Cricetulus griseus: one gene and its partners. The protein of the gene in region 3 interacts with the protein of the main gene of each other region in a biochemical or structural test. Links are inferred from orthologs where the notes say so. Each region holds a gene or a part of one and is shown on either strand. Other genes may lie near its edges.

Region 1 (7,746 bases), on a different chromosome or scaffold from region 3:
GTTTCTGCAGAAGTGTGGCATGCCTTGCTGGGAACAACACAGTCATGCTTCACTAACTTGACAGTTGTCCAGGGCTACTCACTAGCAGCTAGCTCTATAGTACAAAGGTTCTATAAACATCAGCCTTGCTCTAAGAGTGCTAAACAGGAAAACTTTAAGGGAGAGCCTGAAAAAGCATCCAGAACTCTAAACTCATTAAAGCACTGATAGGATTCTGTTCAACACCAGTAACGAAACACTCCTGCCATGTCCTGTGGATCTAGACACTTACTTGTGAGTATCTCCTCCTTCATGACAAATCCACTGGTGTGCAGTCATGTGCATTCATTATCTATGACTTAAGAAGATTTTCTCTAAATATAAGATTCCGTTTTCCTTGCTTTAGTAAGACTGATACACTCTCTGCCATAACCCTCCAAATAGAAAGTCCAAACTCCTCCCTAGCATCACCATTGCATTTTTTAAAAAATGTTATTATAGTCACTTCCTGAGTTTTTTACCTCCCAACTAAAATCATCCAATATAGTTCTGTTTCTTGAACCCATGTAGGGCAGCTCAGAACTGACTGTAACTCCAGCTTCAGGGAATAAACCATCTCTTAGCTCTTCAAAGATGTTCACATGCACACACACACACACACACACACACACACACACACACACACACACCGGGGGTGAGGAGTCAGACAGACATAGACACATAATTACACGAAGTAATTATTTTGAAAAAACACAGCAAATAATAAAGTAAGGAGTAATTGTGATCTATACTTCTGAAAACCACAGATGTATGCAAACAGGTTGTGGACATTTACTTGTCTGTGTGGGTTCTTCTGTAAAGATGGTTGTTTACTACGCTGAGAAAATTTACCCTTTGTAAAGGTATCTTCAGTACTAAATATCGCTTCCTCATCTGACAAGTGTGTCAGTATTCCTGGATTGAAGGGAAACTTTTAACAACAAATCCACAGCATGCACTTAAGATACTGTGTAGTTATCTTAAGATAGAATAAAATGTGTAACTGCGCTGTTTCTGGGGAACACGTACGTGCACTTACCAAATTAGTCAATGAGGGTATTTGCTTGGTTCAATTAAGAAAGAAAAAAATCAGCATCCAAATCTTCAAACTCTGTGTCTTATTGTATTTCTATTGCAGTGATGAAACACCATGAATAAAAAGCCAGGTGGGGAGGAAAGGGTTTGTTTAGCTTATACTTCCTCGGACTGTTGATCACTAAAGGAAGTCAAGATGGAAACTCAAACAGGGCAGGAAGGTGGAGGCAGGACCTGATGTAGAGTCCATGGAGGAGTGCTGCTTATTGGCTTCCTCCTCATGGATTGTTCAGCGTGCTTTCTTATAGCACCCAAGACCACCATCCCAGGGATAGATAGTCCACAATAGGTTGGGCCCTCCCACGTCAGTCACTAGTTAAGAAAATGCACCCCCCAGACTTGCCTGCAGTCTGATTTAATTGAGGCTTTTGCTCAATTGAGGTTCCTTAAGATGACTTTAGTTTATGTCAAGTTGACAAAAACAAAAAACAAACATCTGTTTCAAGAACAATTACATAGAAAAGACTTCTTTTTTTTCCAATTGACTCTTAGGCATGATAATCTCTAAATTAGTAGCAAAAAATGTGTTCTATTCCCTGTCCCAACAGTATCCAGTTGTTAATCTGGGGCACGGAAATGGATTTGAACCTTTTGTTCCTTTCCATGGTGAGCTAAGCACCCTTGTATACCTGGTCTTTGGCTGATTTAAGAGGCCATGTGCTGTTGTTACTGAGCTGTTATTCAAAGTCTAGGCTCCAGATCTTCAAGCTTCTGCTTAATTATTTTTAATTGTTCTGGTTTGTTTTGGTTGAGGAAGCCAGAATAATAATGAAAGGATTCAGAACCTAAGAACAGTGGTTTTTGTTGTTGTCTAAAGATGTTGAAGAAACTATAGTATCTTTTTCTCAGCATCATTAAGTTTGTATTTCTTGCCACAATCCCCCTCCCCTCCAGCATACAAAATGAGAAACCTCTAAGTACAGGAGAATTGCATGGAAATATTGAATGTAACTCTACATACTTCGGTGCCAAAATGTTCTGGGTTGGTAAATATTTGACTTCCTAAATAAAATTGTCCCTATTTCATCATGAGCAGTCTCTATCTGAAAACAGTCCTGCCTCATTGTAGAAGAGAGAGACAGATTGCTCTTGAACCTAACAACAGGTAGTGTGAGTACAGCCAGTACCCCCTGGGATGGTTGTGCAAACTTGTTATGATATTGTTATTGAACAACCATTATTCAGTCAGACACGTTTCTTTAAATTACATTTCTGGGAACAAGGGTCTGTGGAATATCATTAGTTTGCTAGGTAATATGCTGGCGTGCATAATGAAAGACTGTGAAGTAAGAGCTTGTTCCTGGTGTTCAAAATCCCCATCCATGTGGAGATTTTGTGAAGAAAGAGCCTAGAGAGGGGAGGATTACATAGGATCAGTGCTTACCCATGTAGTCTCTAAGGGACTTCTGCCCTTTAGCCTCAAGTATTTTTGATAGGTTTTTTGGGTTTTGTTGTTGTTTTTATAAAGTTGTTTGTGATTTTTAAAGATAAGTGTAAACAAGGCATAGACACACTTAAGAACATTTCTCCCTTTAAGAATTCAGGTTCACTTGCCCTTTTGCACTCACTTGTTTTATTGTTAAGCTGTGTGACAGCTCAGCCTGTGTCATACTTGAGTTGCATGCACTCAAAGTTGAATCATTTGTGTTCCCCTTTTCTGAAAACCATGCAGCTTCCTTTATTTGCTGATTGTGGGGCGGGCACTGTTACTAAGCTGGTGAGAAGCTCTGAGAAGCACATTTTAATATTTAGATCAAACAGCGATTGGAATACATTAATGCCCAGTGGGGTAAATGTGTCCTTTGAAAGCAGCTGCTAGGCTTCTCCCTGCTGCTCCAATTAACACATACAGCACACTCAGTCAGCAAGAGGGCTGTACATATGGATGAAACCACTTCGCAGATCACTAGTGTGGCTTACCAAGAGCCCAAAGAGTTAACCAGCCTTCTCTTTGCCCAAACTGTAGCTTTCTAGGAAGTTTCCCAAGTGCCAGCTGTGCTCTGAGCAAAGGAATGTTAATCGAAGTGGGTAGGTTGCTGGTGGGGAAAGCCGGTTGTCCCTAGCTTTGGTTCAGTCCAGTGACTAGCGAGCTTCCCCACCCGCCCTGGTGATGGAGGTGTTGGGTAGTGACATTTTAGTGCCCGGACGCCTCTTGCTTCAGCTGAATGAAATATCTTGAACTTTTGTTTGGTATGGAAGCAAGTTGAAGCCCGCAGCTCCGCTGTTTGTTTTTAATTGGTATTATCTTACTTTTGTTATCTCACTTTCTTTCTCTGCCCCACCCATCCTTTAAAAAAAAATATAGCAGATCTGACAGTTTCTTGGGCTAAATGAGAAGTCTCACCAAGGTACTCCCTTATCGCTGTTATGTTTTCCCCTGCTGCGGCTGAACTCTTGGCTTTGATGGACACAGGGAGCAAGGCTGGAGGGTAATGTGTCCCAGTAGCAGGGCTTCCTGAGGGTCATTCATGCTCCACCGACTTGCAGAGCAGCTGGGCTGTCCGCTCTGCTGCTGGCTGCGCAGCTCTGCCCCGGGAGCCAGTCATGGACCGCTTCCTGGGATTCGTCAAGCAGATTCGGAGGTCTAGAAGAAGAAAGGGGAAAAAGTACCGCCCGGAAGAGGATTACCAGGAGGGCTATGAGGATGTGTATTACTATGCTTCTGAGCATTTTCGAAGTAAGCGCTCTCCTACACCCTCCTCCCCTCCATCCTCCTGGTCCTTCTCACTTGCCGGGGCTGACAGTAAACCTTGCATGCTTCTTTACTCTTGGATGCAAAAGATTTACCAGATGGTGTTGTGTGAAGTGCTAGCTCCATTGTACTTGGTTTGTTGTGAGTATAGCCACCACGTCCGATCTGCTCAGTATTACCAGCCCGGGTCTATACAGAGGTTAATATTGTAGATGTAATTGATTGATTCTGTTATTTGAAGGAGCCGTTCTATCTCGTAGGTGGTTAGAATATGTTCTGTTGTTGTCATTGTTTTTTTCAATAATTTTTTGTGTGTGCCTGTATATTTTAATCCTTTCAAGAAAGAAAAGGTTGGCTTGTTTGAAAGTAGTTGTTTATGTTGGAGTGGATGTTCATGATTAATGCTACAGTTCCGACTTCTGGACAGTTACCTGTGATGAAACATGCTGTTTGTAGGAGGAAGTTGATGTATGTTCATAATTTTGTTATTAAGTTAGGGGTCTCATTTACTGTCAGCTAGCAGCAGCAATACCTGTAGAATTAAAAAAAAATACCCACATGGCGACATTTGTAAATTGACTTTAAAATAGCAGAGAACTAAAATGTTTCTTGTACCTGTCAGTGCTCAGGGTTCCTGGTGAGGCTTAGACAGGACCCAATAGATTTAAAATCCAGGAACTGCCTCAGGGCGAGGAGAGAAAACATCTCCCTGCCAAGAGCACTGAGCTTATGTGCCCAAATGAAGGGGAGGGAGATGAAAGCTATGTGTGATCTACATTTTAAAAATTAAAAATTATTTCTTATCTTCTTGAGCAAGAATCTTTATGAACTTGTACCTGAAGCACAGTTTCTTTTTTCCTTCTGGCCTTTTGAAGTCTAGCTATGAATGTATTCCATTTATACCTTTTGAGCATTGGCTAATAAATAATTTAGATCCAAATTTCTTTGGCACTGAAAGCCATGGGAATTATTTCTACATGACAAAAACCCTGCTGTGATTGATGAAAGCTGAGAGTTGAAAACTCATGTGGTGACAATAACACAATAATGCCAATTATATTTCTTTGGTGTTTGCCTGAACGGTATTGCTATAATGTTTTTACAGAGTGTTCTCTGAGTTTCAGAGATATTTCCAAGTTATAATTCTTTTTTCCTGAATAATCTATTCTAATGTAGTGACAGTCTATGTTTCCTAAATTTAGCTTCCTTGATGTATTCTCAAATTGAACTAACATTTGTGGCGCACATTTAAAAAAAATACTGCCAGCTTGCATGAGGAGTAATTCTGAAATGTAGAGACTGGGGTGGGGGAGTTTAAAGAGCATTGCTTGGACTGCTATTCCTTGAACACTTTCTTGCAATCAATACACACCGAGTCTAATTCACACCCTCTGTGATTTCTGTTGTGATGAATGTGTGTTCAAATTGACTCAAACAAAATCTCTCAAATGCCTACATTCTACTTGTTTTGCTGAGTTTTTTTTTTAATTTAAATAAATTTGCCGATGAAAAAAAAAAGATATGTCAGCAGGGCAAAGTGCTTTCCAAGAATAGACTAAGAAGATGGTATAATGAAGGTGTAATAGTTATTACCATTAAGTTCAGAGAAAAACTCAGAAACCCTGCCTTATCAGAGTCACCAAGGACGTTCTAAGGCTACGACACTAACCAGCCTGAGTGTTTGCCTTTCCACATCAAAATTACATCCAGTGATTTTTTTTTTTTTCAGAAGCACCCTTTCTTTATACGATTCAGTTGAAAACTTGTAGACTTAGCTGGCTGGTGGGTCCTGAACTTCAAAATGCTACATTTTAAATATAATGTGTCACAGTGAACTGACATCTGGGGTTTGGCATTTCATTAAATATTAAATAGCGCAAGCTTTTGCAGAAGGCATGTGACATAGCACAGTGACCTCCTGGGGCATCTTTGGTTCCAGTTTCAGGGCCTCCCTGAATTGGACAGAGGAGATTCCACTTGTATTTAACTGCTATAGAAAATCGTACCAGGCAAACCTGACTCTTAAAGCCAATCTTCTCAAATGGGTAGTACGGCTGAATTCAATTACATCTGCTGTGTATCTGTTTAATTAGTCTTTGGTATAACTTGGAATCTATACCCCATGTATCGCATCACATGGGGAGAAACTCCATTTATGTTAAGGCTGAGAGCATCGTAGAATTTATTGATGATAGTCATGTCTTATTTAATGATGCCATTGATTTTTTTTTAAACATCAGTCTTGGTCTCTAGTGTTTTTATTTCCTTTTGTGAAACTTAACTCTGCCATGAAGATTTTCTATCAGTTCATATTGTAAGAAAATGATCATATGATAATGAAAGATAGAGCTAATAAGGGCTTTCCAGAAAATATGCCCTCCCCCCAATTCTTTTCCTCTCTTACATAGTTTTAAGGAGTTCCAATTACTTGGTTTTATTCGAAGTAATGTTTCTTCCTTTCTGGGTTCTAACTGAGAGTTTCATCATCTTTTCCTTTATTTTAGATGCTCCTCAGTTATTGTATTAAATGCTAAAGACTGAATTAAGTTGTTAACAGGGTCAGATGCTGTGGAATAAAGATAGTTCCAGAAATGCGTGATTTCTCTGCAAACCTGTCAGAAGTGGGTTTTAACAATGATGGACTTCTTTTACTTTTTTTTTTTAAAGGAAAACACTTGCATATTATTTAGAATCAATGTATGCAACTGTGTGCAAGAGGCAGAATGAAATGTTTTATTAAAAACTGCCTTTCCCACTTAATCATTACTTTTATAATTCTAGAGTTGGAGTTGAGGCAAACAAGACAGGAGCCTTAAGCGAATCACTAAACACTTACGGGTTTTAGTTCATAAAATGTGACACAAGGGATCTTTATTTCTAAGGATGTTTCTAAGAACAAAATATAATTTTATGTTTTAATTTTTGTATCAGTTCATGTAGAAGAAAAAGACAGTGGTAGTTGGGAAGGGGACAGGCAGCTCCAGCATCCAGCCATGACTCCAGCACCTGGGATCTCTGTTCTGGCCTCTAGAGGAACTGATGGATACCACAATGACTTTAGGTAAAGAATAAACAAAGGATTTTATCTGCTATTTAAACCAAATAATCCACTTGACTATCTTGAAGGACTTGTCTAATTAGCTATTGAATTCATTTTGATTGGAAACTGTCGGAATGGGTATGTCTTTTATTTAAGATCATGATTTATCATTGACTATTAAGGAACTTGGGAAAGTTTTGATAATCCAGCAGAGTTCTCGATGTATTGCTAACTCTTAGAGGTCTTCTGTTTAATTGCACCTACCAAAGAACATTTTCTCTTGAAATTCTTTCATAGATGATTCATTGAGTGTTTCCCCTAAAAAAAAACCTGAGTTGATTTCAAAACTGTCATAAATCTAAATGTAACAATCCACTAGAGTTAGACCCTAAAATTCAGTTTAATTATTCTCACTGCCCCCCCCCATGGGATTATTGTAAGATTTTTTTTAAGGCTCTGGCTGGCCATGCTTATTTTATCTGCCATACAAATTTAAATGTCTGATCCTATTGTTACACTTTTTTTTTCCACAGTGGATAATATTCAAGATGTGTTATCTAGTCATTGTCTTTGGACTGTTCTTAGCTGTTATAGCAGCCCTAACTTGCCACAATCTATTTGCTGAACTATTGAAAGAGAGATACCTGTTTGTCTCTTACCAACTACAGCCCTGGCACCTTCTGCAGGTTCATCATGGTACTGAATTAGCCACGGGGTTCCTCCATGGTAACAACTCTCCTGGGTTCTCATCTTAAGGCACCTCTTCTGGAGCTAAGCTGTGTGTGAAAACTGTACCTGGCAATGTGTATTGACATTAACCTTTTCTGCTGAGGTCATTCAAAGTGAATCTAGAGAAAGAGAAGAGCTACTGGGTAGAGTTTCAAAGAAAGATCATTTGTAT
Region 2 (7,981 bases), about 33 Mb from region 3:
AGAAGGCAGGTGTCCTGAGGAGTGGGCAAAGACAGGAAGACTGTTCCTCAAGCCTTTGTTCAGAAAGAAATCAGGCTTGCTAACACCTTAGTCTATCCAGTGGGATCTGCACTGGGCTCCTCAATTACAGCGTTATAACAAATGTGATGTTTAGGACACTACTCTTTTGGTAGTTTTTAAAGCACTAAGAGAAGTGTAAATGGTAAGCTTAATCACTTGGTGAGGGTGTCTGACATAACTGTGTGTTGTAATTACAGATGTCATTAATAAATATTGGAACAGCAACTACAGCTAGGGGAATTGACCGTTTGAGACTGTGATGCCTGTGTTTTCAGCTTGTGGATGATACTGTCCTGAATCAATTATTTGCTGTTGTGTTTGCAAAACTGTGACCACTTAGTTTCACTATCCTTTTGTAAAGACCTCCCTTCCTCTGATTATTCATTTCATTTGGATGCTGGGAACCAAACTCAGGTCCTTTGGAAGAGCAAGAAGTATTCTCAACTGCTGAGCCATCTCTCCAGCCCTGGATTGCCAATATTATAGCTCAACTTGAGGTGGCAGTTAAGTAGCCAAGAAATTACAGCAAAAAATTATAGCAAAAAAAAGATATCACCTATTTTAATACATTTATTCAATAGATTCACATCTATCTTTCATAACATATACATATTGATAAGACTATAAAATGATACAGAGCCATGGAAAATAGTTTGGTAGTTTCTTATAAAATTGAGCATGCACAAACAATATGACCAAGCCTATGGACCCTTGGCATCTTACTGCCTCAGGTTCCCCAGTGCTGGGATTACAGGTATATGGTGCCACATCTGACTTCTCTTAAGTTTTCTCAAAATCAACATGGCATCTTCGTGACCCAATAGAGTCTATTGGGTAGACCAATGATCCCAGCTTGTGAAAATGAGCTGCTGCCTTCAACCCTGCTAATTCTGTTTTCTTTGACCTCTTTAGAAGAAGAGGACCACCTACAGATGTTCACAGTTGTCATTGATGTCACTTACAGCCTGTGTCAACCAGCTCAAGTCCAGGGTGAGAGCACATGTAAGCATGCATCTCTCCCTGAGCTAGATATAGGAGGATAGTTCTAAATCCTATCACTCCAAGAGAGAGCTTTCTTGGTGGCAGTAACCTCAGCTTTTCATCCAGTGCATGAATTTCAGCTCAAACACCTTTGCACAGAAATATAGATCCATGTCAACATTTCAGTGAGCCTATCTGAGCCTAATTAATTTCTCATTCATTTGTGGTATTCGTGCCTGTCTGTCTGTAGGGCAGAACAAGTGAAGTGACTCCCTCCTCCCTCCTCCCTTTTAGGCTCAAAGAGCTCCCTGATCCTCTATTTACTTAAAAGTCTCAATATATAAAGATTATTGGTCACAGAAAAAGGGACATGACAAGTGCACTTAAATTGCTGCACTGTCACTTCTCCCATTTATCAGAGAAAGAAGAGGCAGTCTTTATATTTATCCCAGGCTCTTGCCCCCGCACACAGTTCATCACTTTCCAAGCACTTTCTGCTAGCCAGATACAATGAGAGGCACTATGGAGACCAGTGTATTTTAATTAATAAATTAAATTTTACTAATTAATTAACCTTATTAATTAGAGATAGGATTTTATTATGCATAGTAGGCTTGCCTAGAGCTGACAACCCCCCCCCCCGGCCTCTACCTCCTTAAATTTTGGGTTTACAGAAATTGGCCACAGTGTCCAGTCTGGGGATACAGGGTTTGAAAAGAAAACCTTTATTACAGTAACACATGCTTGCTCCAGTGACAGCTGATGTGTGTTGATTACATAACTCCACGTACCCTTCATGGTGATCCCATTCCTTATATTTACCCTATGACTATGTTGCTCTGACCATCCCCTCTTTGGAGACAAAAGCACCAGAGTTAATCATTTGTCCAAGGCCAGCACATGTCGAAGCTGTAGTCCAAAGGCTAACTGTGCATTCTTTAGGATTCTCATGGTCTTCACTATATATTCTAATGGTATTTGATCTAGGGGTACTCAGATTACCTCAATCCTTTTATGCAACTCTTATCTACCAATTGAAATTTGACAAGAATTCCAGAAGAATTTCCTATAATAAGGAATTTCCTATAATGCTGTGGCCTGTGCTATCCAAACAGCAACCACAAGCTTTAGTTGGATGCTTAGAACTTGAAGTATGACATATAGACGGAACAATCATAACTTAACTGTATTTGATTAAATTTAAATGACCACACAGGGCTGCCGGGTACCACGCTGGATAACACAGATGAAGAGAATCTTAATTTTAATTTCTCTGTGAAGACAAGACTCAGATGAATCAGTCAATGCCTGGTAATGAAAAAGAATGATGAATAATCTTTAAATTAGGAGCGGCCCCCCAACCATGGAAGATGGAACTCCTTGCTCTATTCAGACATCCACTGTAGTGACAAACTATAGTTAGCATGTGAGACTTCATGTAATCCCAGAGGAGCTAGTGAAGATAGTAACATTATCTGCCATGCTTTTGAAAGGCTGAGGAACACTTCTTCAGCAATAGTCACCACTTCAAACACACACTCAGTTATACCTTTGCCTAAGAGAAAAGAAATCAAGGCTTACTTTATTCCTCTACAAAGCTAAGAGTTCATGGACACAAAAGGGGTTAAAAGAGGGGAAACAGTACCTGGAGCTCAGTGAAGATTTTCTGCAGAAACTGCACTCAAGATTTGGACACTTTGTTAAGCAAACTGCAAGTACTTCTTCCAAGTGATTTCCCGAACTTTCTCTAACATCACTATGCATGTCTTCATCCCTGCAGTGGGGTCATTCTGAATTGGGGCAAAATAGCAGAACCATTATATCTATCACTTATGTGGGGCTTTAGATTCATCAGCCATTCTCAGAACAGGGTTGAATCATGTGACCCCTGCCCACCCAGGACAATACAGCTCAGACACTGCCCTGTTCCACTCTGACCTCCAAGATGCTAACTCTCCCCTCCCCAAATCTCAGCTATCTTATAACAACTTGGACTTGACATGATGTTTTTCCTTTCTTTTTAAATTTATATTTTGCTTTTGGAAACATATAGCCTAGGTTAGTAGCTGAGGTTGGCCTTGAATTCTGTATTTTCCTAACTCAGCCCCCCCCCAAGAGCTGGGATTACAGGACTATGCCACCTCTCTCTCTCTCTCTCTCTCTCTCTCTCTTTCTGTGTGTGTGTGTGTGTGTGTGTGTGTGTGTGTGTGTGCGTTTTCTTGGATTTTTAAAAATTAAGCTTAGATTTCAAAACCATAATAGCACATATCAAAGAATTGTGAGACCACTACCAAACTTCTGGAGACCTCAAGCCATGCTTTTCTTTTGATCCACGCAGAAGCATCTCTATATTTTAGGAATCCATTTTTCTCCTGCTAAAGGCTAAGTCATTTTACCAATAAGGTGACTAAAGGAAAAGGAGAGGTCTCTCCTACTCAGACCATAATGATGTAAACCCGAAGTCATAATCTCCTGATGGTCAGTGCAAACCAGGAGATGATTCCATATTTGCAAGACAATCTAACATCACTGCAGCTGAAATCCTAAAGTCACTATGGTTCAGTGCTTTGCTCCGCTCTCAGGACTAGAAGCACCAAGAAGCAGCAGCGGCAACCTGGGGAGGCCGCTATGTACTGTGTGGATGGCTTCGGACACACCAATCTTATCATACCAGCTGCAGCTTTTTTTTTTTTTTTTTCTTCCTGTATTTAAGAGTGATCTTCACAGTCAGATCCTCCGAGTCATCTTGCGGTGCTCGTCACGGGACTGTAAAGGGAGCGGCATCCAATACCAGGGAGGGATCTCACAGGCACAGCTCCCTGGGCTGATGCAAAAACCTTCCTAACGAGCTTCTTCTCTCCAGTCTCAGCCAAGAGCTGGCTGGACCGCCCAATTGCTACATTGCTTTGGCTATAATGATTGCAATTTGGCAGCTTACAGGATGTTGAACCGGGGACCGGAGAGGGAGAAGATAGTAGGCCCGGTTGCCAAAGGCAATGCCGGAAAAGACAGAAGGATGAATTTATGGTGGCCCGTGGTCCTAGAGCTGGAAGGGAAAGTAAAGGGATTTTAAGACTCCAGCAGGTGCTCTAACTCCTGCTGTACCCCTAAGCTTCATTTCCCTCCAAGATCCAGACCGTAGCTAGAGGGGATGCGATTAGGGGCCAGGTAAGCAGACGGTTCCCGGTACACATATGGCCTGATGGTCGCCCCGGGCAGCGTCACAAAGGGCCCAGGCCTGCGGAGGCCGCGCGCGCAGCTCTCCGGGGCGGAGCCGCCGGGCCGGGTGCTGGGGAACCCGCGCCACTTCGGACTGTTCCGCCTGCCGCCCCGAGGTCACACCGGGCAGGCAAGATGCCGTGGCTGCAGCCCGAACCGCTTAGCCTGGCCGCGGAGCTCTCGGGCCCCCGCCTCAGCGGACGAGCGCAGCGCGCGCCCCGAGTCGGGCGGAGCTAGAGGCGGGCGCCGGGCGGGCGTCGCGCCACCGCAGCTCCCCGCCTTCCGCCCGGAGCGCGGCCGGTGCCTGACGGTGGGCGCCGCTGCAGGCACCTGGGCGAGGCCTCGAGCATCCCGGCGGTGGCAGCTCCGGGCAGATCCGGGACTTGGGGACCCCGCAGGAGCGCACCCCGCCGCTCCTGTCGCCTCCCTTGGCTCCTCCTCGGCACACGATTCCGCCCCCCCCCCCGCTCCCCACCGCCGTCCCCTCCCCTCCTCCCACCCCGGAGGATGCGCTCCCCGCGCCCAGCAGCAGAGGCCACCGCTCCCAGAAATGCGTGCGCCCGAGCCACTTCGCCCCGAGCCGCGGAGCCCCCGCCCAGTAGGTAGGTGGCCGAGGCGGGGCCCGGCCTTGGAGGCCACCCGCTGCTGATGCTGCGGCCAAGGAGAACCGGCACCGCCACCGGCAGCCCCAAACTTGCCTCCCTCCTGGGCTGCCAGCACACCGAGGTGTGCTAATGGCGTTGAGCGCAGCCCCCGGGAGACCTGAAACGCTTTGCTGGAACAGTCGAGACCGAGCTGGGGCGCAGGGGCGCAGGGGCGCTGGACCCTTCCCGCCAACATTCTGGGGACCCTCGGGGTAGGGCGTGGGGGTGCTTGGAAGGACAGGTTGGCGCGCGGCTTCCTTGGGGAGGAGGCCGTTGCCTTTTTACTAGCTGGAGTAGACTATGTCATTGCATTTTTTAAAAAGCGGGATCAGCTAATTTGTTCCTCCTATCTCTTTTGCTAAAATGTAGACGAGCAACGGTGTTGTTTTAGAGGTATTTAGGAGTGGTTGTGGATATTTGTGTATTTTACAGCTCGTCATGTGGTATATAAAATCAGTGGTGCAAACACTTTATTTTGGATGCCAGTTTAAGGAAGGTTCTTCTAGAAGTCAGATCACTCAGGTGATGGATGAGGCCAGTGTGTTCTGTTAGGATAAACCAGACGGGAGCCGATGGGTTTGAGAGCTCAAGTTTGATACAGGTGTGGGGAGCTGAGACTCTGAAAGATGCGCTTGTCAACCAGCAGAGGCAGTCTTGCCGCCAGCCTCGCTTCCAACTCAGAGCTGACCTTTGCCTTTCTGAAAACTGGTTCAGTCTTTGACCCCCTTCTGTTCTAGAAGTAAAATTCCTACATTAGGGCTTTTAGTATGTTTGTTTCCTCTTAGGCTGCCGTTTTTCATTTTACACTAAATAAAAGGTTTAGAATTTTGGGAAAATGGATCATTGTAAACTCCAATTGTACAGCCAGGATTTCAGACTAGAGATTTTGGTGAACTGAATTAATATAAATAGTAAGGAGACAGAATCTTCTTTTTCCCCCCATTCTGTAATTCCCCTCCTTTGGATGCCTAATAGCTGTTGGTTATTTGTTATTTCTTTCTATAAACAGGCAAACTCTGTTATTTTTCATTGACATTTGTGGCTTTAGCAGCAAGGAAGGCATTTGTTCTTCTTTTAGGTTCACTTTGTGCCCATTTTCCAGTATTATGGCAATCAATTCTCTTTCAGTTATACTTTCAAAAACAATTTAGAAAGCAGAATTCATGTTTAAAGAAAATTCTTAAGTCAATTCCAAAAGGAGTAGTGATCTGGTTAATAAGTAACAACTTGTTTTAAGGTTCAGCTATGGTTCATTTTTAATGTTTTTATTAAAACTAAAGTGAAAACAAAACATTTAAGAGTCTATGGTTGCAAAGTGACCTCACTCATATTATATACATAAAGATTTGATTTTTTTCTTCTTGTGATGCCAGGTACCAGATCCAAGATCAGGCCCATGGCTTCAGTGTGTTAGGCTGGTCCTGTTTGAGCTGCATCCTCAGCCCTAGAAGAACATTTTAGCTATTTTCCTCTATAAGATGAGATGTTTGGAAGATCCAGTGCCTTTTCTGCTTAAAATGTTATTTTAGTAGAAAAAAATAAAGAAAAAAATAACAGAAAGGACCAAAATGGACATAGGGACAAGTCTATTACCTTCCATTTCCTTTACTTACACTCTATGAAAGTATTGATATGTCTTTGTTTTTCTGTCACATAGATCCACTGAGTCATTCTCCTTAGCACATTTATCTGACAGGGAATACCTCCTAATTTTCATGCATCTTCTTCCTCACTACCCAGAATATTTCCCAGAATCCTGATTTTCACACAACATGCTAAAGCATAATATATTACTGTTTCTTCTCTAATCTAGTCAGATTGTTTCAAATGTGTGAAGGAAAACTTTTAGATAAAAGGTATGAGAACTGAGGAAATCATGGGAAGAGAACTTGTGGATATAAGTTGTTATAATTTATGAAAACAAAGCAGTTGCCATACCAATTAATATAAAGCCATTTTTAGAGTCTTATTTATAATCAAGGATATTGAGCAATTCATTTGCATTGTTTTTCCTTGCTCACCTTCTACTTTGTAAAAGAACCTGTGGTTAAAATACACCTTTTGCTTCTTTTAAAATTATTGATTTATATTTGTAGGGGGTGGGCATCTTGCCTGCAGTTGTGTCTGTGCACCATGTGCATGCAGTACCTGCAGAGGGCAGAAGAGGGCGTCAGGTCTCCTGAGACTGGAGTTAAGGTGGTGAGCCACCATGTAGGTGTTGGGAATCAAACCCAGATCCTAAGCCACTGCTGTTGCTACCTACCCCCGCCCCAACCATCTCATGTTTTAACTTCTGGACAGTTAGTTATTTTGTTCCGTCAACAAGTAGAACTTGAACATTTTCATAATGTTCTATAACTTTATGCAAGAGCTTTTTCTTCATTGCAGAAGGAATTTTTTTTTTCTCTTATGTCCTGCATGCAAATGTGGTATCTCTACAATGTGATGACTCACATGTTGGTTCTTGCCTCAAGCGCCAGCTACAACCCTGCCTCCCTGCCAGCAATGCAATTCTAAGTCTGGATTTCTTTTCTTCTTCTTCTTCTTCTTCTTCTTCTTCTTCTTCTTCTTCTTCTTCTTCTTCTTCTTCTTCTTTTTGTAACCTTTCTGTATCTTTCTCCTGCTGTCATTTCATTTGTTTGGTTTGTTTTTTGTTTGTTTGTTTGTTTTGTTTTGTTTCAAGACAGGGTTTCTCTGTAAAACCGCCTTGAGTGTCCTAGAGCTCTCTTTGTAGACCAGGCTGACTTGGAACTCACAGAGATCCGCCTCCCTCTACCTCCCGAGTGCTGGGATTAAAGGTGTGTGCCACAATTCCAGGCTCCTGCTATCATTTTAGAAACCTGTCTGTCCTTTGTTAAATGTGTATTTCTTAAATCTTACCCCCAATTTTCTTTTTAAATTAAACAGAATGCTCTCAATTCACATACACTACAATCAAAATAGCTAGGATTGTGGGGCGACTCTACAGAGGTAAATTTGTGTAATCTTTAATCTCAGATAACGGGGAATGAAGGGTGAAGAAGAGTATTGTATCTGTCCCCCTCACGAGGTGCATGACATGAGATTGTTTCTGCACA
Region 3 (7,192 bases):
GAATACAGAATTATTACCAAGGGGCTCCAGGATGTAATCTGTTAGCGTGTGGCACCAGATGAGAACCAGCACAGGCAAGGCTTGGCTGGCAGTTTCCAAGACTTACCTTACAAGATTATGGTGAGGACTAATTACAGTAAAACATCCTCCCATGGTGCACACAAAGTGCTTCAGATGCACACCACATGCTGGGACTGGAGAGACAGCTGAGCAGGTAAGAGCACTGGCTGCTCTTCCAGAGGACTTGGATTTGATTCTCAGTACCTACATGGTGGCTCACAACCATCTGTAACTTCACTCTCAGGGGATCTGACATGGCCTTCTGACCTCCCTGGGTACCAGGCACATAGCAGGCAAAACACCACACATACACATCAAATAAATAATAATTCAAAACCTCAATGAAATATCAACCTTTATTATTATCATTACTTATTCCAGGACTTTCAGGAGATTCTCATTTTTGAGCAGAAAGGATTGATGGTTTCTTTTTTATTTATTCTTATTATTTTATTTATTTATTTTATTTATTATCAATTAGTATATCTAATTTAGACCTGAAACAGTTAAGGTTATATCTTTAAAAAAAATCCTCACTATATATTTTTCCACTTTCTTGACAAATTAGAAGAATGAAGTTCTCATATTAATTCTTTCTGTGTCGTGAGTGATGAAAACAGTTGATATATGGTGTTTATTTTTCATGTGTTCAATGTTGAAAATATTTGAATTAGCCAAGCACATCTTTAATCCCAGCACTCAGAAGGCAAACACAGGTAGATCTCTGTGGTTCAAGATCATCTAGGTCTACACAGTGAGTTCTAGGACAGCCAAGGGATAGTCCCTCAAAACAACAAAATTGTATTAAAATTTCACTAAAATGTTAATTCCTTCCATGTAAATCTAAAACTTAATATCTAATGCACTATCTAATTTTGGAGAGATAAGTTTGAAAGAAACATAGATGCTTGGGTTCATCTCTGGCCTTTGAAATGGTTATTTTTGCCAATAACATTTGGTCAGAATGGAATGGCTTTTTCTGGGTGAGACTCTGAGTCCAAGGATCAAAGAATGCACAGCAGAAAAATCAAGCCACCTGTTCCATTGGGGGCTTTAGTTAGTGACAGTCACAGGTGAGTAAACCTTTGGGAGAGGATTATTTGAAATGATTTAAAAATTTCATATTTAGAAAGAGAAATGCATTTGCGAAAAATTCACCCAAAGCTAGGAACACTGACAAACTTGGGCCAGTCCCTGATACAACAGTTCAGCAGCCTCGAGAATTTGACTGAGCTGCCTTGGGAACATGGGACCACACTGCATTTCAAGTAGTAGTTCAGCATTCTGTAGCATCTCCAAGCTAGAACTCTATTTATGTGACAAAGTTAACTAGTGCTCTGTGTGTGTGTGTGTGTGTGTGTGTGTGTGTGTGTGTGTGTGTGTGTTGGAATGCAGGTATATGTGCATGTGCACCACATATGTTTCTGGTGTTTGCAGAAGCCAGAAGAGGGTTCCATACTCTCTAGAATTGGAGTTAGGGTCGGTTGTGACCTGCCATGTGGGAGTAGGGAACCAAATTTAAGTCCTCTTCAAGAGGGCAGCCAGTGCTCTTAACAGCTGAGCCGTTTCTTGAGATCCTGGTAAATGTTTTTTTTTAATTAATAAAAATAATCTCAAAGGCTTCCAAACTTAGCTGAAGAGCTGTGGAGATCTCAAATAAAGAGCTTTCTGTGCAAACATGGGGAGTTAGGTTGGGATCCTAAGCACTACGGAATAGCCAGGTGATGTTATGCACACCTGTAACCATAGCACTGAGAGGCAGAGACAGGAGGGTCCCTGAGATAACCCTGAGAGGTGGAGACAGCAGGGTCTCTGGGTTAGCACTGAGAGATGGAAACAGGTGGGTCCCTGGGTTAGACCTGGGGAGATGGAGACAGTAGGGTCCTTGGGTTTGCTTGCCAGCCAAGGTAGGTGAATGAATAAGTTCTAGGTCTAGTGAGAAGGTCTGACTTGAAAACTAAGGTGGAGCATGACTGGGCACACTTGACATTGACCTCAAGCCTCCATGTGGACATACACACTCATGCACTTGCCCATGTACACATGTGTTCACACACAGAAACATCAACATGCTCACACACAAAGTTGTCTGGTGAGTGAAAACTGTACATACATGACAAGAACCATGCACTATTTCAATAAATGGTGTAATATTCACATCAGGGCAATCATCTCCATTTTCTCATAGACTGATCATTTCTCTTTACTGGTTATCTTTTTTTTAAAGCTTTTTTTAGTAATACACAATTGGTTATCATTATCTGGTCACTGCACTTTGCAAAATAACACTGGAATTTATTTCTCCTGTGTGACTGAAAATGAAGCTTAGCCAAATTTACTCTAAGCTTCTCTCACTTTCATTCCTCCTGGCTTCTTAGGATAGGCATTCTGCTCTCAGTGTCTGGACAGCTATTTTGTTTATCCATTTATTTATTTATTTATTTATTTATTTATTTATCCATTCAGCTATTTATTTGTTCACTTATTTTTTGTTTTACATCCCAACTGCAGTTTTCCCTTCCTCCTTTCCTCCTAGTCCTCCCCACCACCTCCCTTCACAGGGTTATTTTATATTACACACGAGTATCTGTTCACCTAACATACTATCTTTCAGCTCTACCCAATTTTTTTTGCCAATGACAGAATATCACTTCTTTTTAATGGCTGAACAGTTTTCTGTGGTGTATATGTACCACATTTTCTTCTTTCATTCATCAGTTTATGGACACTTGCATTGCCTCTCTTTCTTGGGGTACTGTGAACAATGTTGTAATAAACATGGCCATACGAATGTCTCTTCAACATATTGAGTTGGTTTTCTCTGGACATATGGCTGGGAATGAAATTGCTGGGTGAAATAGTAGTTCTATATTTTTAATTTAAAAAGAAAAATTTTTTAAGAATTATTTATATTATGCATATGGATGATTTGTGTGCATGTATGTCCGTACATCATATATATGTCTGGTACCATGGAGGTCAAAAAAGGCATTGGGTCTCCTAAAACTGGAGTTACAGGCAACTATGAGCCACAATGGAGGTCTCTGAGCCAAACCCTGGTCCTCTGTGAGAGCAGCAAGTGTTCTCAGATGCTGAGTCATCTCTCCAGCTCTTCAACTTTTTAAAAAGGAAACTATCTACTATTATTATAGCGAGTGTAGACTTACCACCAGGCAAAGGCATCCTATCATTGAGTTTCTCCATATTCTCATCAATGTTTCTTGTCTTTTGTCTGTTTTATACTTGTCATTCTAACTGGAGTGAGATGGCTTCTCATGGATTTGATTTGCGTTTGTCCCATTTTAGTGATGCTGAACATTTTTTTTTTGGTATCAAATGTTTTACATATGTACACAGCCAACATAAGATCAAAATATACTTTATTCTGGACCTCTTTCAGATCTGATTCAAATTACCGTTGTCAAAGCAATGCAATGCAAAGGGGGAAACTGCAACAACACACACATAAAAAATGTGCCTGGAAAGGGTCAAAAGGTCATTGGGGACAAATCACCATGATGTGGAACCAAAATACATAGCAAGTGTCATTGACATGGTCCAGGAGAGACAGACATCTGTATCAGTCTTCCTTACACAGTCATCATGAAAACTGAACAATAAAGTTCTTTAACGTGTACAAAAACTGTCATGGGCTGGTTTACACTTTACAACAGCTTTAAGGTTACTGGGGAACTAAAGAAAGGATGCAGACATCATCACCCAGTGCTAAGGTATGCTCACAGAATTAGACCCAAAGGATTTCCAAACCCAAATGAAAACATTCTACATAGTGACAATGTCAAAGTCGGGAGACAAAACCATTTCTGTATTTAAGGATGGCAGAGATACACAATGAAGTGTGTAATGAGATGAAAAAGTACACCAGACACAACATGCAGAATGTTTCCTCCAACTTATCCAGAAATTCCAAAGAAAACATGTAACTGCTTGCTAGGTGTTAAAAAAAAAAAAAGCCTAATTATTCACCCGGCTCCAACATGGTCACAGAAGAGCAAAAATAAAGAATGCTATGGACACCTCAGAACTGCTAGAGAAGACATCAGATTCTAAATGAGTGGATTAAAAATGTGAGCACTCCCTTTTTCCCCCTCTTCTACATTCAACTAGAGTCATGTGTTAAACAACTGGTATTAAATGTGACAGACACTTCAGAGCTATTACCGGAAGGAGTAGTTCACATGGTCCCTCTTGCTGACTTCAAACAAAAGGAGGGAATCAAAAACAAACAGAAAACCACCCCCTGGGTCTCTGTAGGCTGGCTGCTAGCCCCCAAATGCTGGCTTTTGCTGGTGTGCCATGATGTTGGTCCACGGAGGCAGGATTTCTGCAGCAACTGTGCCAGTACCACTCTTAACTCGTGGGAATCCAGCTTTTGTGGAAATGATGCTGAACATTTGGCATACTTATTTCTTTTAACCATTATGTCTTTGTTTGAGAAGTATCTCCTTTGGTTGGCTGGCCATTTCTGATTGCATTATTGCTGCTTGAGTTAATTTTTGTGTGTTGATGATTGTTAAATCAGTGTTTCTCTTGGGATTCGGTCATTGGTAGGTCTTACTCCATCATGGTGCTCTACTCCTTCACTACTAAAATTACTGTCAATTTGCTATTAAAGAGTGTCTACAACAGATGCAGTATTTGATATTAAGCTATATTTCATGAGTAACTAACTAATTATTATAATTTTGTTATTTTTATAGCATTTATTGTACACACAGACACATGAACACTTATACACGTATACATACACACATATACACACGTACAAACATGCACAAAAACACATATACACACATATATATATACATACATACAGATACACACATACACAGATACATACATATATGACACACATATACATAAACACACACACATACAATACTAGTGTGTCAGAAACAACTACTATTGGCTCATAAAATCACATTGTTATATTTTCAGGAGTTTGTGTATCTCTAAATATCAGACAAGTGACTTGAAATTTGTTACACTGACATTATTTATCAAATGAATATCATCAATGCCACAAATCAGTGCTGTTCTCTTTTGCCATTTGGAGTGAGAGTTATTAAACACTAGTTTGCATGAGCCTTCCGTATTTATTTTAATAAAATAAAGGGCTATTATCTTTGAAGATGGTGTTTGTACTGAAGTTGACGGGAGAAAAGGGTAATTGAATTTGTTCTTTTATCCTTCTGCATTTTCAGGGATACGAAAAGACCGGAGAGGAGGGAGGATGCTGAAACACAAGCGCCAGAGAGATGACTTGGAAGGCAGAAACGAAATGGGGCCTTCAGGAGACATGAGGGCCGCCAACCTTTGGCCAAGTCCTCTTGTGATTAAGCACACTAAGAAGAACAGCCCTGCCTTGTCCTTGACAGCTGACCAAATGGTCAGTGCCTTGTTGGATGCTGAACCGCCCTTAATCTATTCTGAATATGATCCTTCTAGACCTTTCAGTGAAGCTTCGATGATGGGATTATTGACCAACCTGGCAGACAGGGAGTTGGTTCATATGATCAACTGGGCAAAGAGAGTGCCAGGTAAGAACGCAAAACTCAACGTCTGTTTTAAGAGTGAATGACTCAAGAACTGGCTGTGATACTGTGTGGGGAGGGGAGAAAATAACAGCGTGCGATGTGGTTGGTGTCAGTGCTACATCGGGGCTTGCCAATTGTCAGTGTTAACCCACTGTATTTCTCTTGAAACTTGAGAGTAGCCTTTAAAATCAACACCAAGAACAATAAAGCCTTCGACATAGTATTTCTGGCCAGTTTTCTCTGCTCAGAAGAGTTGGATAGATACTACATACTGCATGCACACATGTGTCTGTCATGCAGAAATCACATTTTAAAAGTGCTTAATGCTCAGTGATCTATGGAATTGTTTTGATTTCTAAGACTATCATTGAAAATGCCTCTATTGAGGAGAATTTTTCCCATAAATAATCTATTCTTCAGATGTTGTGCACTAAAGGGCTAATAATAGGCTTATTTGTGGAATGCCAATTATTTATTCATTTTGCTTTATGCATCCTATGTTCAGAGAAAAGGAAATACAATAGGAAAATAAACACAAGCAATGCCCTGAGGAGCTGCTAGAAAGATCCAGAGGCTGAAGTGACACTCTGTTCATCCTATTGGTCTCTCAAGTGCTGTTTCTAAAGCTCTTGACTGGTCTCCTTTATGGAGAAGGACTCTAGTTATGATGGGAACAAGCCTCTCCCATGCCCCAACTAATGGATTTCGTATACAGAAGCCTAGGCTGAGGCAAAAAGAGGTGGACTCTCTTGTATGGCTTATAGATCAAATCAATGTGAGATTTAAATTGAGCTTTTTTTCTCCCTGGGCTTCAATAGATGAAGTTATTTTTTTGTGACACGTGAGATTTTTTTTTCTTTTTTATAATACTAAAATATATATGGAGTTTTGGGCTTCCATTTCCAGAGTTGTTGACATAGGCTGAGTTAACATGAATCTGAGAATCCTACATGTATTTGTGTAAATCCATGTAAAAACAAGTTGTGCTTTGAGTAAGGAGCTAGCTATGCAATGAGCCAACTTACTACAGGGCATCTATCTAAGTGGATTGGGTAGGAGAGATCAGAGTATATGAATGAATAAGATTGACAGAGAAAGTTTAAGTTTTGAGGAAAATACTAACAAGCAAGCAAATATCCTGGCCATCCAAGGAACTGAAGGTTTTATTGAATGCCTAGATATTCTATCATTGTTTTGTGAGATAGACACAAGCACTTCAGGATTGGAATTATGCATGTTTTTCCTTGAACTTTATGTCTGTTTTGTCTTATTTTCACACTTTGAGAGAAAAGAAAAATGAAATGCACAAAAAATTTAATGACCATACCCCCGAGAGCCCATCTTGGTTGCTGTTAAATTTTTATTAATCTATAAACATATCCCCTATGAGAGTGTAGCAATAGTAGTCCCAGATCCACACAGCAGTGCTGAAAACAAGTATATATTATTCATTTTTATCTGTAGAGTCCCCTCTCAACATGTGGTATTTTATTAGCGGTGGTGTTTTAAGTCAGGGTCTTGCTGTGTAGCTCAGGCAGGCCTGCAACTTGCTTTCCTGTTCCAGCCTCAGGAAG
Region 4 (7,847 bases), about 160 Mb from region 3:
TAGCTAGAGACCCAGGTAAAAAGGTGCACACTGACAAGGAAGGCTCATGGGTATTGTTTGGGACTTTTGTGACAAAAGATGGTCTTTGAGGAACTGAGGCCTATCTCCCAACCTTCCTTGAGGTTCAACCTATGTGAGAACATGTCAGCAGCCAGAAAATACTTGTGTTGTACACTCCAGTTGTTGCCCTTGCCTGCTTTCACATAGATGAGAACAGTCACCAGCTCTTAACTCCCTCCCTTGTTCTCCCTTATGGTTCCACACTGCTCTCCAGGGTACCCTAAGGCTTTAGAGCAGCATTACCCGTTTACACGTTTTATATTCATGGCCTTGCCAAGTACGAACCATGTGTATCCGCCTGCTTCTGCTTAGCATTGTAAAGTTGATCTGTCTGTGGCTGTGTGAAGGTACATTTTTATTCTTGCAGTAGAGCATTCTACAATATGACCAACATCTGGAAGGTTTCCAGTTGTGGGTTATCACGGATAATGCTGCTATGTCCTTGTTTTTTAATTGCAATTTTTTTTTTAGTCTCATGTAGCCTCAAAGTCACGATGTAGCTGAGGGATGACTTTGAACTTCTGGTCGTCTTGCTTGTACCTTTCCAGTGCGGGGATTGTAGGATTGTACCATCACACCAGTTTATATAGTGTTGGAGATCAAGTCCGTGGCTGTGTTCACGATAGGCTAGCAGTCTGTCAACTGAGCCACATCCCCATTCCACTTGTCTGTCTTCATGGGCAGGGCTAGAGAACAGGTTGGGTCTGTCCTGGAATGGCTTTAGTGGGACACAGGGTTTGTGTGTGTTGTGTTATTTCCTACCACTCAGTTATTTGTTTCCTGGGTGCTTGGGTTCGTCATTCTCAAGGTTGAGTGTGAGAGCTCTGGTTTTTACCTTGTCCTCACTAATACTTGGTGCTTCTTTGCATAGAAATTTTAGATATTTTGATGAGTTAGTCTCACCCTGTTGTAGCTTTAGTTTTCATCTTCCTGTTGTCACAGATGTGGACACCTGTTTGTGTGTCGATTGACTGCTCATAAACTCTTTGTGAGACACTTGCTCTTACCATTCACCCATTCTCCCCCTCCCCCCATAAACTGGGGGTTGTAAACTCTTCGTATTTGTATGGATCACTTGTGCGTTTTTGGGTGTCAGTCTCTTGTTGAGTGTTCTGTGGCAGGCTGCTTTTCCTGCTGTTTGGCTGTCTTCTCTATTTTCTGAGTCTGGATAAATTGAAATTTTTCTTTTTCCTTTTTCGCTTTATGGTCCAAGGAGATTTCTCTAACTATATGAAAATACTGGTTTTTGTGGTCTTTTGGACTGGGTCTGTAACCCATCTCCTGTTTTCATGATGGGTTGCTAGGAGGTCATGCATGACCCAAGCATTATATTCAGAAAGACTGAAACCTTGGGATTTAGGGTGGGCTCTTAACTATTAACAGATGACCTTGCGTGTATTGGTTTCATTCTAGAATATTATGTTCTTTTCTTGTTTTTAATAAATCAATATAATATAATTGAGAATGTAAGTCTTCCAGGTCCTTCGTGTTTCTTCGTAAAATACAATATTGACATGTCAATTTACAAAAATCACAATTTTAATTTTTCTTTTTTGAGACAGGGTTTCTCTGTGTAACAGTCTTGGAACTTGCTTTGTATGCCAGGTTGCTACCACCACCCAACTTAATTTTAATTTTTATTGTGATTGCATAGACTACCAATTAATTGGGAATGTCAGTGTCTGCGCCATTGTTAGGTCTTTAAATCCATATACATAGAATATTGTTTTATTTAAATCTTTGAATTTTGCTTATTATATACTGACAATTTCCAATAAAGCTTTACATTTTTTGATGTATTTAGCCCTTGATATTTGCTGATAATCTGATGGTATCATAAATGTTTTCTCAGAGTTATTTTCTTTTTGTCCCTGGTGTATAGAAACACTTAAGTATATTGCCCATCTTACTTTACAACCTTATGTTAATGTAGACATTTTAATAGTTCTTGGTTGATTGTTCTGGGTTTTCTGTGCATATGTATACTGTGTATAGATGATGATATCACCCTTCCAGTTCTTTTTCGTGTCATATTGCTCTGGTGAGGGTCTCAGGAGATGGCGTTGTTTGGCAGAGGTGAGTGTGACACCTGCTGTGTTGTGTAGATGATCTGCGTTTGTTACTCTGCAGTCTTGTCATTTCTTGCTTGATGGTGTCACTAACTGACTGCTGCTACTCCACCAGCCACAGAGTGTGGTAAGGGACAGAACATGCCCTCTCTGCTCACACCTCTTTTTGGAGCGTCATAAAGATTTTTAAAAGAAATCCTCTTAAAGATTTATAGCTTCTAAGACTTGCTCATTGGAAGGGCTTTTACATCATATGAAGTCAAGCCAACTAGGATTTCAGAATTTCCAAGTTGCAGGTGTGAGGAACCCAGGTAAACTAGCACACGAAGCCATCATGCTACTTATTCTGTATAGAGCCCGAGGAGAAATGCAGCAAGAGATGTCTTTGTAGAAGTTTGTACCCAGTCTCAGACTGCAGTTAACAGGATGGCCAAGGTACCCATAAATCAAAGTTACTTACCTTCTCTCTGGCTCTTACAGACAGATCTTTTCATTTGTGTGGTGCCTGGAGCACCCTGGGCCAGCGGGCCTATATGCTAACTGTCTTCTGACCTACCTTGGTCTGTTTTCCCATACCTGTGATGAATGGCTTGGTTCATCGGTCTGCTCATTTCTAGTCATCTTTAGTCTTCTACTTCTGTATCCAGATTTTTTTTTTTTTTTTTTTTTTTTTTTTTTTTTTTTTTTTTTTTGTCTTTCTCTTAGGATCATGGGCCCTGGCCCAGCCTGGCTCTGAAATAGTCTGCGGTAGCACTAGGGACTGTCTTTTGGCCAAGAAGGAACTCCAGAGGCTGGTGTGTGATTTAATGGAAGGCAGGATTTCCAGCTCTAGAGATAGCACTCAGCCATCTTGTGCTATCATAGCAGCCTGTTCCAGACCCTACTAAATTCTTCTCTGACCAGGACCCCATAGGCTCTGCCTCTCTCACATGGAAGGTGACATCTTCTGAAAACCTTTTTTCTGGTAGCAGAGCTCTGAGTAGATGGCACTGAAGCTGATTTTCATCATGCTTTTGGCAGTGCATTAACAAACAACAATAAAAACCCAAGCCAACAAACTCATAATAGATTGTAGCTGCACCTACCTGCAAAAATTTACAGTTAGTTTTTGTGCATTCAGTGTGTGGAGAAGGAGATGTGGATGAAGCAAGAATGGCAGAGTGTTCATAATGATTGAAGTTGGTGTCTTGGGTTTGTTGTACTATTTGCTTTGCGTTGTGTTTGCATCAGGTTCCATAACGTGAAACCTTCCCTTCAGCAAGAGAGACCTATGCAGAAACCACAAGAAACTTAAATTTAAAATTACCTTTATAGATATTTTTTCTACTAAACTTGTATTTTATTTATTTATTTGCTTGCTTGTTTGTTTACAGGGTCTCACTATGTAGCTCAGGCTGGCCTGGAACTGGCTATGCGGACCAGACTGGCCTCTAACTCGCAGAGATCTATCTCCCTCTGCCTCCTATGTGCTGGGATTAAAGGTGAACACCACTAAGATCAGCCCATGTTTTTATTTCTTAGTCATCACATATGGAGATGATAAACAGTTTAGACCCATCAGAATGGAGAAACCCCAAATGGAACATACACCCTGGCATCAAAGCCTCTTTCTGCAGAAGCACAGCCCACGTCCTGAAGTGATGCATGGGCAGCTCTGGAAGAGTGCCTGGGTAAGGTTGGGTGAGCCTTGGAAGACCGAGGACAGAAGCAGTGTTGAGTGCCCAGTGCTGTCTCCTCATGAGCTTGTTTGTCATGTGTAGGGCTTTTGAAACTACTTATGAGTGTATAAGAACATAACCAATATATTGTATATTGTAGAAGCCAGGTTTCTCACTGTTAGAGAAAGGTGTTAAAAGTGAGGAAAGGGTGACTAGCAGAAATCTTGCAGTGGTTAGTTAGCTTGGGACCTAAGGCGTCAGTACTGAGTTGATGTAAACAAATGCTTAACAGAAAAGATGGAAAACATCAGGAAAGCATGAGCAGCTGATTTAATGGAGCTCCAGTAGACAGAGTCAAGTGAATAAGCCAGAGAAAGTTGATAACATTGGATTATTAGCATACTGCAAAGAAGAAATTTTCATCTGTCTTCATTAATGCAAGTGACCAAATGCAAAGATAAGGACCCCTCAGCGTTGAATTTGAACTAACATGTATAAGAGAAGGAAGCCAAGTGCCACCATCAGGCAAACACCCCCCCCCCCCCATGGCAACAGTTGCAGATGGGCCCTCTTGATGTATCTGAGATCCAGAAGATACCCCCTGTTATGTGTCTGTCCTTCCAAATAATTGACATTTAGGTCTTTCAAGGCTCTTGTTGATTTTATGTAAGTCCTTGGCATAAAGTTGTCTATGATGCTATCTTTTGTCCTTTTACTGTTTAGTCTGTAGTTCATCCCCTCTTCTTGATAGCATTTCATCATCGACTGCCTAAAGCTTTGCAATCACATTGATTTACCCCTTTCTTTCTCTCTTTGTTCCTGTACTGTACACTGCTCACTGTATAGTACAGTCTTGAGTTTGCTGTCTTCCTTCCTCAGCCTCCTGAATGACTGGGTTACAGGTGTCCCCCACTTTGCTTGGCCTTCTTCTTTCTTTCCATTTTTTTTTCATGCAATTGATTTCTACTCTTTGCTGTTGTCTCTTTGTTGTTTCTTTGGAGTTTGGTTTGCTCTTGTCTAATTTCTTGAAGTAAAGACTGCCATCACTGAATCAAGAGTGTCTTTTCTAACATGGGGATTCAGTGCTGGACATTTCATATTTTGATATCTTGTGTTGCTGTTTTCATTCATTGCAAAGTGCCTTCCAATTCTTCATTTGTGAAGTGTTTTGTTGTTGTTCATTTATTTTCCTTTTTTGTTGTTGTTGTTTATTTTGAGACAGGGTTCCGTGTAGCCCAGGCTGGTCTCAGACTCTGTGTAGTTGAGGATGGCCTTGAACTGCTGATTCTCTTGCCTCTACTTTCCAAATGCTGGGATCACAGGTGTGTGGCGAACTGAAATGTATTATTTAGTTTGCAAATACTTTGGGTTAAAGATACTTTTCTGTTGTTACTGATTTTTAAATTAATTCCAGTTTAGTAAGATAAGTTTATTTTATGTGACTTGAGTCCTTTTAAACTTAATGGTACTTGTTTTAATGGGCCTAAAGGTGTTCTGTTTCAGTGCTTGCTCTGTGTGTTAAGAAGGTGCTTCCACTGCTTTTGTATAGTGAGTGTTGTGTAAATGTCACTGAGTCACCTTGAGGGCTGTGTGTGTGTGTGTGTGTGTGTGTGTGTGTGTGTGTGTGTGTGAGTGTGTATGTGTGTGTGTGTGAGTGAGTGAGTGTGTGTGTGGTGAGTGTGTGTGTGTTTTCTAGTATTCTGCTAGTTTTCTGCCTGCTTTTGTGACAGTTCCTAAGAATAAGCATTGAGATCCTAGCTGTAATGGTCGATGTGCCCATTTCCTTCATGCTTTTCTTAGTTTTGTTTCTAGTGTAAAGTGTGGTTTTCATTTACTCCTCAGCTTACTGATCCTTCTGCCATTAGGAACTGGGCCTCTGCATCCTATGTGATAACTTGAGCCTAAAGTTTATTTTGTCTGATGCTAATGTCTCCTTCACAGATTGCTCTTGGTTAATGTTTGTTAGTTACTTTTGTCATTGTTGTGACCAAATACTTGACAGCTACAAGGGAGGGGAGATTTATGTTGGTTTATGATTTCAAGAGGGTAGGGAGGGTGTGGCCGAGCAGAACAGGTCAGGTCATGGTGGGCTAGGAAGCAGAAAGATTGGCTGCTGGTGTTAGACTAGCTCTTCCAGTTCCCTCTTTCATTTTCTGGGTCCCTCAGTCTGTGGGATGGTGCTTCCTATATCACGGTGGCTCTTAGTGCTTCTAGAAAGGCCCTCACAGACACACAGAGGGGTTTTCATCTCTTGGGGGTTTTCTAAGTAGAGTCAGTTGGGCAGTGGTGCTTAACCTGCACGGTTTGTGTGATAGATCTTTTCCTATCTTTAGTTTATTTGTGACTTCATAGCCAAGTTCAGCTCTATGAAGGAATGTATTGTGTAGCTTTGTCATCATTGCCATTGTGTGAATATTACACAGGCTAAGGTGACCACATTGTCACATGATGATCCTTTCTAATGTGACCACCCTGTGTTTGCTATATGCAGTCTGTTGTTGACTTGAATGTCATGTGGCATGTGTCTGTATTGAAAATGTGTTCGTGTAGGTTGCACATTGCTGGGCCTCTGTTGCTTAGGGAACACTGATGTTATATAAAATGAGTGACCTTCTGTCTCTAGGCCATTTCCAGTCCTACCTCATGGTGGTTCTTTCTACTTGGTACAAAAAAATTACTGTTTTTTATTAATATGTCTGACAAGCTCTGTCCCTTAGTGGAGTGTCTGGACAATTTGAGAAGGTCGCAGATACAGGTGAGAGTGGGCTCAGTTGTCCTTGATTCCCAAACTCAAAAGCATTGTCTCTTTATCCTCCTGTTTAAATTGTTGTTACTGTTTTTAAATCTTAAATTTCTGCATTTATTAGACTTTTTTGTTAGGACTATTTACTGTCTTTTTTGAACTGTGGTAATGTTTTCATTATACATTTTTGTAGTGTATTAGTTATGAACCTCATTCTTCTTTTAAGCCCTGTTATTTCTAGTGTTCACTTTTGCCAAGTTTGAGTTCTCCCAGAACAAACATATTGTGTCACAACAAAAACTCTTGGGTTCTCTTACAAGGGGCTTCTCTCCATCAGTGGAGCTTAGAGAGCTTGCTGGAAGCCTTGGGTGGGAGCTGTAACCCTGGCAAGGTAGGCTTGGGTGGTGCTCTGGTCTTGAGATGCTATTCTTTGAGGAAAAACCACAGTCCCCATCTGGGGCCTGTCAACAAGGTGTCCAGACTATTTAAGAGCACACCTCAGAACATGATTCCTGTCTTGGAAGAAAGTTTTTTGGAAGATTGGCTAGACATGTCTCAAGAAATGAGGGTGCATGGGGTAAGGGGTGGGGTGGTCAGAAAGAGAATTAGGCCAAATGAAGGTTTGCAAGGGAAGTAGTGGAGAGCATTGTTTAAAGTTTACTTAAATGGCATCCTGACCACAATGAAGAAAGCCGATACTGTGGAAGATGTCAGCAGTCACGTGCAGAATGTACCAGAGAGGCCACCCCGCCTGGGAGTGCAGAATAAACAGCAGATGCGTCTGAGGCAGGAGGGGTGGATCTGTGGAGAGAGTCCAGCAGCAGTATACAATCTCTCAAGAAGCCAGAGTGAGTTGAATAAAAATAATCAAGGGTGACTGAGCATTTTCCAGAGCAGGAAGATGGAAATGTATTCAAAGGGTCTTGCTGTGAGCAAAACGAATCAAGAGACACTTATCGGTACACCGTCTGACAGTATTTTTCGGTTTCCAGACTAAAGAAAAAGACATGGTAGCATTTAGGCAGAAGAAAATGACATTAGCAATACCCAGCCCTAAAGGTTATGTAGACAGAACTCTGGGATAGCTGGCCTTAGGCTATTCCATGGTGCCAAGGGAACAGCATTACAGGATAGATGGTGTGGCCTGAGACTTTTATACCTAGCCAGGATGTGTGTGTGACTTTGTGTAAGATGGCTTCAAAGTTGCCAGAATAATGGGGTTTGCAGGATTGTGCCACCTGCCTCCCTTTAAAGAAGTGGTGTCCTGACTGAGAGGAGTAAAAGTTCTGAACCTATGGATAAAAGTCATGGTGCTAT

Evidence for each region.
Region 1: the proteins of Esr1 (region 3) and Grip1 form a complex in vitro, tested with the Homo sapiens proteins (2 studies listed by BioGRID and IntAct). The link is inferred for Cricetulus griseus from reciprocal best matches to the Homo sapiens genes ESR1 and GRIP1.
Region 2: the proteins of Esr1 (region 3) and Ncoa7 form a complex in vitro, tested with the Homo sapiens proteins (2 studies listed by BioGRID). The link is inferred for Cricetulus griseus from reciprocal best matches to the Homo sapiens genes ESR1 and NCOA7.
Region 4: the proteins of Esr1 (region 3) and Hdac4 form a complex in vitro, tested with the Homo sapiens proteins (2 studies listed by BioGRID). The link is inferred for Cricetulus griseus from reciprocal best matches to the Homo sapiens genes ESR1 and HDAC4.

What each region holds. Positions count from the first base shown.
Region 1 is NW_023276806.1:137,037,629-137,045,374, reverse strand, and holds the start of Grip1 (glutamate receptor-interacting protein 1), read left to right. Parts: upstream 1-3,657; coding exon 3,658-3,790; intron 3,791-7,746. UniProt on the Homo sapiens protein: May play a role as a localized scaffold for the assembly of a multiprotein signaling complex and as mediator of the trafficking of its binding partners at specific subcellular location in neurons.
Region 2 is NC_048595.1:249,090,558-249,098,538, reverse strand, and holds the start of Ncoa7 (nuclear receptor coactivator 7), read left to right. Parts: upstream 1-3,892; 5' UTR 3,893-4,209; intron 4,210-4,730; exon of another isoform or gene 4,731-4,862; intron 4,863-7,981. UniProt on the Homo sapiens protein: Enhances the transcriptional activities of several nuclear receptors. Involved in the coactivation of different nuclear receptors, such as ESR1, THRB, PPARG and RARA.
Region 3 is NC_048595.1:282,509,092-282,516,283, forward strand, and holds part of Esr1 (estrogen receptor), read left to right. Parts: intron 1-5,285; coding exon 5,286-5,621; intron 5,622-7,192.
Region 4 is NC_048595.1:443,656,105-443,663,951, reverse strand, and holds the start of Hdac4 (histone deacetylase 4), read left to right. Parts: upstream 1-3,758; 5' UTR 3,759-3,773; coding exon 3,774-3,799; intron 3,800-7,133; exon of another isoform or gene 7,134-7,378; intron 7,379-7,847. UniProt on the Homo sapiens protein: Responsible for the deacetylation of lysine residues on the N-terminal part of the core histones (H2A, H2B, H3 and H4).